3 linked regions of the Daphnia pulex genome follow. The protein of the gene in region 1 interacts with the protein of each later gene in a biochemical or structural test. Links are inferred from orthologs where the notes say so. Each region holds a gene or a part of one and is shown on either strand. Other genes may lie near its edges. The genes, in order: polyubiquitin, ubiquitin carboxyl-terminal hydrolase 48-like and epidermal growth factor receptor substrate 15-like 1.

Evidence for each region.
Region 2: the proteins of polyubiquitin (region 1) and ubiquitin carboxyl-terminal hydrolase 48-like form a complex in vitro, tested with the Homo sapiens proteins (3 studies listed by BioGRID, with this or other methods). The link is inferred for Daphnia pulex from reciprocal best matches to the Homo sapiens genes UBC and USP48.
Region 3: the proteins of polyubiquitin (region 1) and epidermal growth factor receptor substrate 15-like 1 form a complex in vitro, tested with the Homo sapiens proteins (2 studies listed by BioGRID). The link is inferred for Daphnia pulex from reciprocal best matches to the Homo sapiens genes UBC and EPS15L1.

What each region holds. Positions count from the first base shown.
Region 1 is NC_060024.1:13,920,105-13,923,704, forward strand, and holds the start of polyubiquitin, read left to right. Parts: upstream 1-1,266; 5' UTR 1,267-1,574; intron 1,575-1,998; 5' UTR 1,999-2,004; coding exon 2,005-2,335; intron 2,336-2,516; coding exon 2,517-2,744; intron 2,745-2,907; coding exon 2,908-3,135; intron 3,136-3,289; coding exon 3,290-3,517; intron 3,518-3,600.
Region 2 is NC_060018.1:12,831,232-12,834,960, forward strand, and holds the end of ubiquitin carboxyl-terminal hydrolase 48-like, read right to left. Parts: intron 3,707-3,729; coding exon 3,525-3,706; intron 3,185-3,524; coding exon 2,987-3,184; intron 2,882-2,986; coding exon 2,756-2,881; intron 993-2,755; coding exon 917-992; intron 846-916; coding exon 823-845; 3' UTR 155-822; downstream 1-154.
Region 3 is NC_060021.1:11,549,227-11,553,055, reverse strand, and holds part of epidermal growth factor receptor substrate 15-like 1, read left to right. Parts: intron 1-1; coding exon 2-206; intron 207-275; coding exon 276-478; intron 479-553; coding exon 554-745; intron 746-826; coding exon 827-898; intron 899-971; coding exon 972-1,283; intron 1,284-1,662; coding exon of another isoform or gene 1,663-1,689; exon of another isoform or gene 1,690-1,742; coding exon of another isoform or gene 1,743-1,748; exon of another isoform or gene 1,749-1,956; coding exon 1,957-2,676; 3' UTR 2,677-3,829.

The sequences.
Region 1 (3,600 bases):
GTCCAGAAACTGGAACAGAAAATGAAACGAATGCAGAGAGATTTGCACTACGACCTGATTGCCTTCACGCAAACTCAAATTTTGTACACCATTAAACGACTTTTAGCAGCTGATTTGAAGGTTATTTACCGGGGCCATGCTCTAGAATCTGAAACTCCAAATGAAGAAATGCCAAATGAGATTAACCCGTTCTGGCCAGAATTCCAAGCAGTCGCCCATCCAAGGAAAGGTGGGCTGCAAATGGCCGACTTTCTTGTTTACGGATGGTATGAAATTTTATCATTGTAAATAACAACTCAAAAATTATTATAAGAAAATTTCCGATTTTCTAGTTTGGAAGAACCCGATTTCACCCAAGATTATCTCAGCACACCATGGGCTTGTCCTATATGCGAACTCAATTTCTACCTGACGGGTCTAGGGCGATTGAGGCACCAGGTCCAGTGCCAGAAGACAAAAGAGTTGATGGAAGGAGGTATGAAATGTTTTTTAACAATCTGTTTGCTGCCCTCTATCCAGTTTACAATTTTCCGTTTTGTTGGGTTATTATTTAGGTCAGGGTGAACCAGCAGAAGCTTCCGAGTCGAAAACGGGTTATTTCTGTCCTGATTGTCGCACCACTGTGGAGCTGACCGGCATTGATTTACTGCGTCATCAAAGGAAGCACCAACAGGAAAAGTCCAACAAACCTGAGGCAGATTAGTCCTATACACGCAGAAAGAAGCCTTGCCCAAAGTCCTTCAAATTAAACACGTGGGACACGTCGACACCAGCACTCATTTCCGCTGCGCATTTTTGCGAACATCATCACATTATAATCCCCTTAAACTCAAGGTTGAATAAAGACCTATGTAAAACGACGCTGAATTGGAATTTATTTGCAATGAATTATAGTTTTATTCAGAGTCATGGAAGCGTAAATACATAACGGTTTTTATCTTGTTCGGTCTAATTAAGAAATTTCTCCTTATTAGTTGTTTTTTTCTTCGTCACTTTCTATTTGTATACAAGTTTTGCCAGCAACCTCATACGTGTTTCTACTTTCAAAATTCTGCCACGTGTAAATATTATCTCGTAAAGGTTCGCAACCTACTTGAAATGAAAATATTGGACCCAAAAAGTTTGGTGGAAAAGAAATAGAAAGTATGAGAAATAAAGGAATAAAGGATATCCGCGATTATTTCAAGGCTGAGGCAAATCCGTACAAAATTAACGTCACTTAGATAAAAATGTGGAAACTTCCAGAATTAGCTCAAATTTCATAATCACGGAATATTCTACGTCACATATTGTTTCTCTGTCGTTGTAGTCACGTTTGAGAAGGTGACGTTTCATCGTTACGTTATCTAACGACAAACGAAAATACGAAATAATCCTTCTAGAAAAAGCTAGGGAAAGCCGCAGGGGACTTGGTACGAACCTCCCCAGGCGCTTCTGTCGCGTCTATATAAGTCGACGTCAGCCATTTTAAAAATCAATTCGCGTCCAGCACCCAACTCGAGCAGAACGTCTTAGCAGTTGCTTCGTCGAACACATATTTTAATTCAACTTTATCATCTGATTGATCAAATTTAGTAAGTTAAACCTTTGATTTCTTTGTCCTGAATAGATATCCATTGTTCTTGTGTGTAACTAGTTAAATTAACTAAGATTTTTTGGGGGAAACGAAAAATTTACGCCGTGGCAAGTTGTCCCTTTGTTCGATTGTGTCCGCCATTTTCTTTCCTCGTTTCATCTCTTTTCTCTTAGTAACAACTGGTTGGAAAATATTTCATGGTGTAAGATGAGACAGTTATTGAAATTTACTAGAAACATTTTGTATTACATTAGTTTTGATTGCAACTTCTTTAAAAATAATTGGCTAGTAATAAAATTTATGCATGGGCGTAACTTTCCTTTGTTCGACGTGACGTAATGATGACGATTGGTTATGATGAAACTTCTGATAAACTGGTTTTGTATATGATACTAAAGTAAGTTTAATTTTCGTTTCTTCAGAAAAAGATGCAGATCTTTGTCAAGACATTGACTGGCAAGACCATCACCCTTGAGGTTGAGCCTTCTGATACTATCGAGAATGTTAAGGCCAAGATTCAAGATAAGGAGGGCATTCCACCAGATCAGCAGCGTTTGATCTTTGCTGGCAAGCAGCTGGAAGATGGTCGTACCCTGTCTGATTATAACATCCAGAAGGAATCTACCCTGCACTTGGTCCTCCGTCTGAGAGGAGGAATGCAAATCTTTGTCAAAACACTAACTGGAAAGACCATTACTCTGGAAGTTGAACCTTCTGATACCATCGAGAATGTCAAAGCAAAGATCCAGGATAAAGAAGGTAACTATCAAACCTTTGCCTACTGTTACTAAATTAACCTGATGAGTATTAGGATTACAATGACATTTAGAGTGTCTAAATTTCTTCATGATTACAATTATATCGCAATAACCTGAAGTATTCAATACATTTTAATTTCCATAGTTGTCTGATTGAAATTACAAAATGTTTCTTTGTTCAGGCATCCCACCCGATCAGCAACGTCTCATCTTCGCCGGCAAACAATTGGAGGATGGTCGTACTCTGTCCGACTACAACATTCAGAAGGAGTCAACATTACATTTGGTGTTACGTTTACGCGGAGGCATGCAGATTTTCGTTAAAACTCTTACTGGAAAGACCATCACTCTCGAAGTTGAACCTTCTGACACTATCGAGAACGTTAAAGCCAAGATTCAAGACAAAGAAGGTAATGGAAAAAAATAAGAAGAGAAATTTATTGTAGTTGCTGATGACACTCTTAGGACACCTAAATATGGACCCTGATTACTAAATAATCTGAAATTTAAATGTTAAATGATTTTGGTAGCATTAATCTACTAGATAATATTAACGATTTGAATTGTCTACAGGTATTCCCCCCGATCAGCAACGTCTAATTTTCGCTGGAAAGCAGCTCGAAGATGGCCGTACTTTGTCTGATTACAACATCCAAAAGGAGTCGACTCTTCACTTGGTTCTTCGTCTCCGTGGTGGTATGCAGATTTTCGTCAAGACTTTGACTGGCAAGACCATCACTCTTGAAGTTGAGCCTTCTGACACAATTGAAAATGTCAAGGCTAAAATTCAAGACAAAGAAGGTACGTTAGTTTTTGAAAGTTCGGTTGTTCTGCAATGATGATAATTTTATATACGCTAATATCAACAACATGATTACAATTAAATCTGATGTGGTATCGTGGTAAATGGCAGAATGTTTAGGTAGAAATTTCAATGTTATTGCTTTTTCTGTAGGTATTCCCCCAGACCAGCAACGTCTGATCTTCGCTGGTAAGCAGTTGGAAGATGGACGTACCTTGTCAGATTACAACATCCAGAAGGAGTCTACCCTTCACTTGGTCTTGCGTTTGAGAGGAGGTATGCAGATTTTCGTGAAGACTCTTACAGGAAAGACCATCACCCTTGAAGTGGAGCCATCGGATACAATTGAGAACGTTAAGGCCAAAATTCAAGACAAAGAAGGTAATAATTTGGGGCAGTCTTTATTTTTTATTCCATCGATTATGATGACACTTTATTAGCTCTTTAATATGTACCCTGATTAC
Region 2 (3,729 bases), on another chromosome or scaffold:
CCCTACCATATGCATAATTGTCTTCTCTCTCCCCTTCGTTATTATTACGTGCAACGTTTAGCCTTTTTCATAATCGTAGCAAATAACAAGAAAAAAATGTAAACTTCCGAGAAAGATTACAATCGACACAATTAGGCAAATTTTCAGACAGTAATTACATTCGAATTTCTTTGTGTATTACTATTACTGTAGTAGAATGTTGTGTGTTCAAGTTTGTATGTAATTTTTTTTTGTTTTGTTTGTGTTCTACCAGGATCTCCACACACACACACCCCATTTTTTGTTGTTGTTTGTTAATTTCTGAGATCCAATTAGATAAGAAAAAAAAGTTGTTGGTAGAGTGTGAAGAATACGCGCCATAACGAAAGAAAAAAATAGAAGAGGTGACGTAATAAAATATAAATAAATCAGTTGACATTTATACGGAGGACAAAAAGGGAAGATTTATCATTAGGAACAAATTGGGACAGCGGGGCGATCAAAATGTACGGGGGGTGTAGCTGATATAACCTGTCTCTCTTTCTTTAAATTTTGCAAGTTTTATTTCTTTGAGCACAGAGTTACAATCAAACGAAACAAATTAAATTTTACCCAGTAAGTTATTAATTTGAATTTTTTTACTTTTTTGTTCTTTTGCAAAAAAAAAAGTTGACGCGCCAGTTTAATAATAACAATTTAACAAACAAGAGTAGAGAGTAGAAAGAAAATATGCTGACGTCCGTTATGAGAGAGAGAGACAAACGTCGCAGCAGCTGAAATTTTTGTGTGTGTGTTTGTTTATTTATTTTTTTAGGCACTTGACGGTTGGACGCCGGATGCGATTCAGCTACGGAGGAGTTCGGTTCCTGCGAGCGCGTGGAAACGAATATCGTCAACACAAATAATCGATGCGAAAGACAAATGAATGGTGAATTACCTTTGAATCCTTCTTCGGGAATGGCAGTCCGTGCATAGTCTTCCATAAGGGACGGATCTTCCGACGGCTCATCCGCCTGAAACCCCCAAAAAAGAAATGAGATCAAACAAAGCGAAACGTGATGGAATCAAGAACATTGTGTGTCATTTGATTGAGAGCCAACTAATCTAAAAAAAAAGCAAAAATAAATAAAAAAAGGACAAGAAAAAAATAACTGGCCGGTACACTCCATCCGTCTCTGCCTGTCGGGCTCTATATAAGGAAGTCGTAGCCCATGTTACACATGTTACCGACGACAATCAATCGTGCCGAAATGAGAAGAAGAAAAAAAAACGAATCAGAAATAAATGTACATGGAAACGATAAAGAAAGAAAAAAACGAAAATGAAAGTCTGGCGCTTGCCCGCCGACTAACCAGACGTGGAACGCATGGACGATGACCGCAACTACACCGCGCACCACAAAACAAACTCACTCTTTCTTTTTTGACTATACAAGGAGCCGCTCTCTGGCAATGTAAGGCCAGCTCAATCCAATTCCTCGTTATTAATGAGACATTAGAGACGCCACACACGCTACAACAAACGCACCGAGGAATCAAAACGAGCAAAATTGAAAAATCATAAAAATTTTCTTTCCGTCAAATAAACAAAGTTAGTAGTGGTAGTAATCGGGACCATTCTGAATTGTCCGTGTCGTGAAGAACGTCAACTCTCTCGGGTTGAAGCTTCAAGGACACGTAGGGACACAAACGAGCGTCAACAAAGAAAGTTTTTGGGGAGAAAAGCCCCGAGAAATTCAATTAGAATTGAATTACGTGTGTGCTACTACTGCTATAAGCTACTACTACTACTATGGGGGGGTCGAGTTCAATGATCCTATCTCCTTCTCCCGCTTCTCCCGCTGCGTCAACGATTTCGAATGACGCGCTTAACGAATCCCGCCACCAAGTCTCTTTTTTTTTCCAGATCCCGTCTATGTCTTGCGTGCGGGAGCGGCTGAATTCTTGAGCCATTTCAAGTCAAAAAAGAAAGAAGGAGAGATAGCCGAGTCGACGCCCATCATCGGCGGGGGTTGCCGCCTTGTGTGTGTGTGTCGCCTTCTCATTTTCTGGCCGACGTGACCTACTATCTCCGCATCCATCCATCATGTCGCGAGTCGAATCAACCGTTTCCCTCTTCTCGTCGGACGTTCTTTCCGTTTCCCCGGCTCGAATTAGCGTACACACTAAATCCAAACGGCTAAAAAGGGCCTCGTTTTCTCCCCTGACTTGTGTGTGCTACTACTCACTACTACTACACGGTCGTGTTGATTTCAATTTCTTCTTTCCTCTCTCGGCCGCGATTATTTTCCATCCACTTCTTTTGTGTGTGTTTGTCTCCGGTCGAAAAGAAAAGAAAAAAAAACCCAACAAACAAACAAACAAACAAACGTCAACCAGCGGGAAACTTTTTTGTTTCTTTTCTTTTTGTGTTGCGTTACACCCCTATCATGTCCTCGTGTTCCCGACTCCTTCCAACTCGGTGTAACGCTCTTTTTTTTCGATTCTTTTTCACGGGAGAAATACAGAATGTGTATTGTTATTTTTGTTTTTCTGTTTTTTCTTTCCTCCTTCTTTCTTTTCCTTCCCTAAAGAACGTGTTTTTGTCGAACGTGCTAGACAACCACTTGTGCCCGACTTGACTCTGGACCTTACCAATTGTGCTCAACTGGTTGAGTCACACACAATTCACGAAAAAAAAGAAAAGAAATAAAAGGAGGAAAAAGGCACACAGACAGTCGATCCATCTCGATCAAATCAAAGGAAAAGAAGAAACGGCTGGAGCTTGTTTGACTTACCTGAAGGATGATGACGGTGCCGGGGAAGATGCGCAAAGAGGCCAGCGTCGCTTGGTTGTCGTTCAAATCACGTCCTTCGCACGTCAAATGCTGGTCGAACGGCGCCACTTGAAACTTTTTCATAATCTGAAAGAAGAAGAAGAAGAAGAAGAAGAAATGAGTCAGCCCGAGAGAGGAGAGTGTCACGAAAATAAACGCGGACGGATGACACACACACACACAGAGACGTACGTCACGCTTGAGATCGAGTAGGGTCTGATCGGACGAGACGGTGATCTCCTTCTCTCCGCGGCCTCGTCTTTGGCGGGAGCTCCTCCTGGCCTGCTGCTGCTGGCCCACCGTGGCCGGTGACAGGGCCGGCACTGGGCAAGAAACGGCCAAGGCCTGGGCCGTGCTGTCTAGTCGTGGTCTCTTCGTCTCCGATCCCATCTGCAACGTGAACCAGAAAAAGTGGATAAGATGAGGTCCCAAACAGAAACATTAAGGACGAATTCCTCTGAGACATTCCACGGCGACTGATTTACATTCCATTCGGCAGGATTAGGACAAGATTACGACGACCTCCAAGAGCGCCGGCCAGTCCATTACCTCCATTCTCTTCCTGCCGAATGTTTCCCATCCAGGCGGCCCATCATCCCGCTAGATCCCCACCCCCTCCAGACAATTCATGATTGAAAAGGGGTGCGGAAATAGGGTAAACGATGACATTCCTCCGACTAGGAAATGGATGGACCGAGTGTTACGCAAGAGTGGGAGAAAACGGGGTTACCTGGAAGTCGGGATCTTCGGCGACGGAAGACGAAAAGGTCGAGGCCGATGGCGCGTCGGTGAGGTTGTCAGTTAGGGCTCCGATTTTGTCAACTTGGCGGACGTAGATGGCTGCCCGGCTGTAGACCAGCTGCGACCGGCGCTCCTCCTCCAACCGCTTCTCCAGGCAGCTCTCGCACACGGCTGCAACAAATGTCATATAAATC
Region 3 (3,829 bases), on another chromosome or scaffold:
GGTTCGTACATTCCGGACCCAAGCAGAGGAGCAAGAGAACACGCTTCGAACACAGGAGGCAGAAGTTGCGGCTAAGAAACAGGAACTTAATAATTTACGCAGTGAAGAACTGCGCATGGAGCAACAGATGCAAGCGGCCAGCCTCCAACTCGACAAGCTCCAGAATACACTGCAAGATACTCACTTGCAAATTAGTCAAATTAAAGGTTTACTTGGCGGAAATCTTTTAATACTTTGTCCAGTAAAGTATAAAATTTTTGGTTTTGGTTTTTCAGCTCGCATGACGGTGTTGCAGGAACATCAACATCAGATTGACGAGGCCTTGGTGGCCTATGACGAAGCCTTAGAAACGGGAGATCCCTCTCGATTGGGCGATAACGTTCTTCGCCCTATTGCCTCAGTAGCTTCCGATTCCGATATCTTACTCTCGCCAAACTCTGACCGCAACAAAGTGAACGGGGGAACGTCGCATTTTAACGTAATTGAACTTTGGTTCAGTTTTGTCCAGTAAAGATCATAATATCTTTTTTTTTTTTATTCGAAATTTTTATAGGATGGAGCGTTCGGTAGTGATCCATTTTCTAGTCTGAATGGTCAGAATCGTGGGTTTTCTGACTCATCTAATGGGGACCCTTTCAAGGAATCGGACTTTTTCAAAAAGGCGGCGCAGCCAACTTCGTCTGTTGATCCTTTTGGCGCCAAAGACCCATTCGCCTCAGCCTTTGGAGCTCCTGCAAAACCAACGGTACGTGTTTCTATGAATCGTTAGAAAGTATTTGAATCCTGACTAGTTTGTAAAACGCGTAATGCATTTTGAATTTTTCAGAATGATCCATTCGCTTCCGCGTTTGGTCAAGCAAAAAGCGAACCATTTGACGCCTTCGGTCGTAGCAAATCGGTGAGTAATTAGAATCAGACTAATTGCGGCGGAACTCGAGCGCTAATTGATTATCAATTTTTGGTCATTGCAGCCAAACGTGGGTGCTGATCCGTTCGGTAGCGACCCATTTAACGCACCTAATTCTCCCTTACCTGCCGGTCGAGTGGAAAGCCCGACTCCGGCCTTGCCTCCCAAGAAGTCGAAACAACCACCTCCACGTCCAGCTCCACCGAAAGCTGTTTCTAGTGGTGTGAAAGGTCCCCAGCGCCCGGCTCCTCCCATCGGCGCCACAAAATCACCTGATCCTTTTGCACCATTGAGCGATCCGTTTACTTCGGCTGGTGCGTCTAAGGATCCTTTTGGTGGATCGGGTTTTGCTGATTTTGCAAGTTTTGAATCTAAGGTACGTCTCCGATTGATTTGATGTTTTTTTTTTTGTTTCGCAATTTTCTATGTGTAGTTTATTTTATTGGTAATCCAGAGAGCATGATTAACTTGTACTACGGTTGATTTTTCTTCGTTTCAACTGTGATTCATTTATACCATTCCTTCTTTATATATAAAGCTAAACTCCATTATTTTTATTTTACGTGACATGTGTACGTGTTTTCTCTTGTTCTAGAACAATCTTTTTTTAGTTAGGCGATTGGCAGCCTGCTGGGTCGTGATTTATTTTATTTCGTCTTCGTTTAGATTTGACTCGGTTCATTTGGGTTCTCGTTTCCGTTTCCCGTGTTCGATAAACATGTAAAAAAAAATCACAATTTGGAATTTGATTTCAGAATGATTCCAGTCCATCGGATCCGTAAAGTCAACTAAACTTTCTTGCCTTCTTCTTTCTTTTTCTGTTTTTTTTACGCAGCCATGAGTCAACTCTAAGGCATTTTCCACTGGTCTGAAATCTGACCTTTCGAGCGTTTAGAATTAATATTTTTACTGTCTTCTATACATCTACCTGATATTATTTTAGTTTAGTTTTGTATTTCGAAATTTTTCTGTTGTAATTTATTTTAAGTTTTTTTTTTCTGTTTTCCCTGCTTCCCTTCCCTGCTTTGGTTTGTGTTTAATTGCCTTAGTTTTCTGGCTCTTCAACTGGCGAGAGCTTTGATGCATGGGGAAGCACCAGCACTAGCAGCACAAAACCCACCAGCGAGTCACAACAGCACCGGTATGCCGAGCTAGAATTCACTGAAGATCCCTTCAAAGATGTCGGATTTGGCGATCCGTTTGCCTCAAACACAGACGATCCCTTCGCCGTTCCCACCATCACCAATAACGGAATAAAGATCAAGAAGGATCCGGACAGTTTTGATCCGTTTTCCGCAGACAAGGATCCGTTTGCCTCTTCCACATCTCCTTCTAAATCCACGATAGAATTCGACAGTCCGTTCGGTAGTTCGGCATGGAACGGGCGGCCAGATCCGTTCGCTGCTGCCACAGCTGCTGACAACAATAACAAGTCTCCCTCTAGTTGGGGCAACGATTTCAAGTTTTCCTCTCCCACCTCTAGTGGTCCCACTAAAAGTCCAACATCGATTGGCTCGAGCTCGTTAAAGAGCCGATCGTCTTCCTCATCGTCACCGATGAAAAGTAGCAAAGTGTCTGCATCTGAACCATTGCCCAAGTTGAGCGAAGACGCCCAAATCGCTTGGGTGGCTGCTGAGAGTGTCCGATCGGAGCAGGAAAGGCGAAGGAAAGCGGAGATGCAGGAAATAGCCGATCTGGAAATGGCGATCGCTCTCAGCAAATCTGAAATGAACAGTCGGTCACCACCGTCTTCAGACAGATTAATTTGACCCGTTTGAAAGCTGGCCACATCTCTTTCTTCTTCCTTTCTATTCCACCACACCCTGTTTTTCCTTCTTTATATGTAATCTACGTGACCTTCACAGTTTTTTCACGCTCCTGTTTACGGTACTTCCCTTGTTTTCAAAGGCTAAATATTCAAATGAGCTTTCCTTTGGCCTCTGATGTAACAAAATTCAAAAATTACCAAAAGAATCCAGCAATACTTTGACCGCAAAAGGTAATGCATTGACCTATGTACGAGAGTGAATGGTTAGCCGAAAAAATTTATTTCCTTTGGTGTTCAATCTCCTTTATTCCATCACCCCCTTATTGGTCATATCCCCAAACTATTTATAACGGCAACTGGAGGGCAAGACTGCTGTGTACATTTTACTCGCACTTTTGTATCCTTGCATGTTGCCTTTCTTAGACTTACTTCCCACAATAGTAATAAGGAAAAAAAAAGTGTCGCTCCAATCGCTGACGAATGGGAGAAAGGCGAGAAAGTAGTAGTCGGTGTGCAAAGTGTTGGTAGTTGTGACAACAGGAGTGTGCCATAGTTCGCCCGTCAGTCCCTCGGAAAAAAATTTTTCTTCTTTTGTTCTTACATCTTATCTCTTAATAGTACAATATGGTCCCATCCACCATCACCAAACAGATCTGTCTGAAGAATGAAGAAATAAAAAAGTGTTATTTCGATGCCGTAGTTGTTTTGCTCTTGGAACGTTATTTTTGCCGTAGCCTGATCTTTTTCTTTATTTCAACCTCTCCACTGCTACCCATTTCTCCCCGTTTTCTTTTTTTTTTCTTTTCTGTAATTTGATTGTTTCGGTATGATGCCCAGTGGCCACACGAGAGTTACTTTTTCCCACAAGTCAATTTTTTAAAAATGAAAGTAGCTCTAAGAGATGTACCAGTATGTTTGTTAGTTATCTCTTTTTCTTCTTTTTTTTTTTGTGAATGTCCTTGCGTGAACACGATTGTTAATTTGCCTCAAGAGTCCGTGTTTTCTCTCTCTCCCCCCCCCCATCCAAAAAAACCAAAATGTCTCTCTATCTGTCTCTTTTCTCTCCTCGATGTAGTAACATTATCAACTTTCATCATGTACTTGTGTACCTCCTTCTTCGACCGTTTCTCTCACCTACCTGAAGATGGTTACTC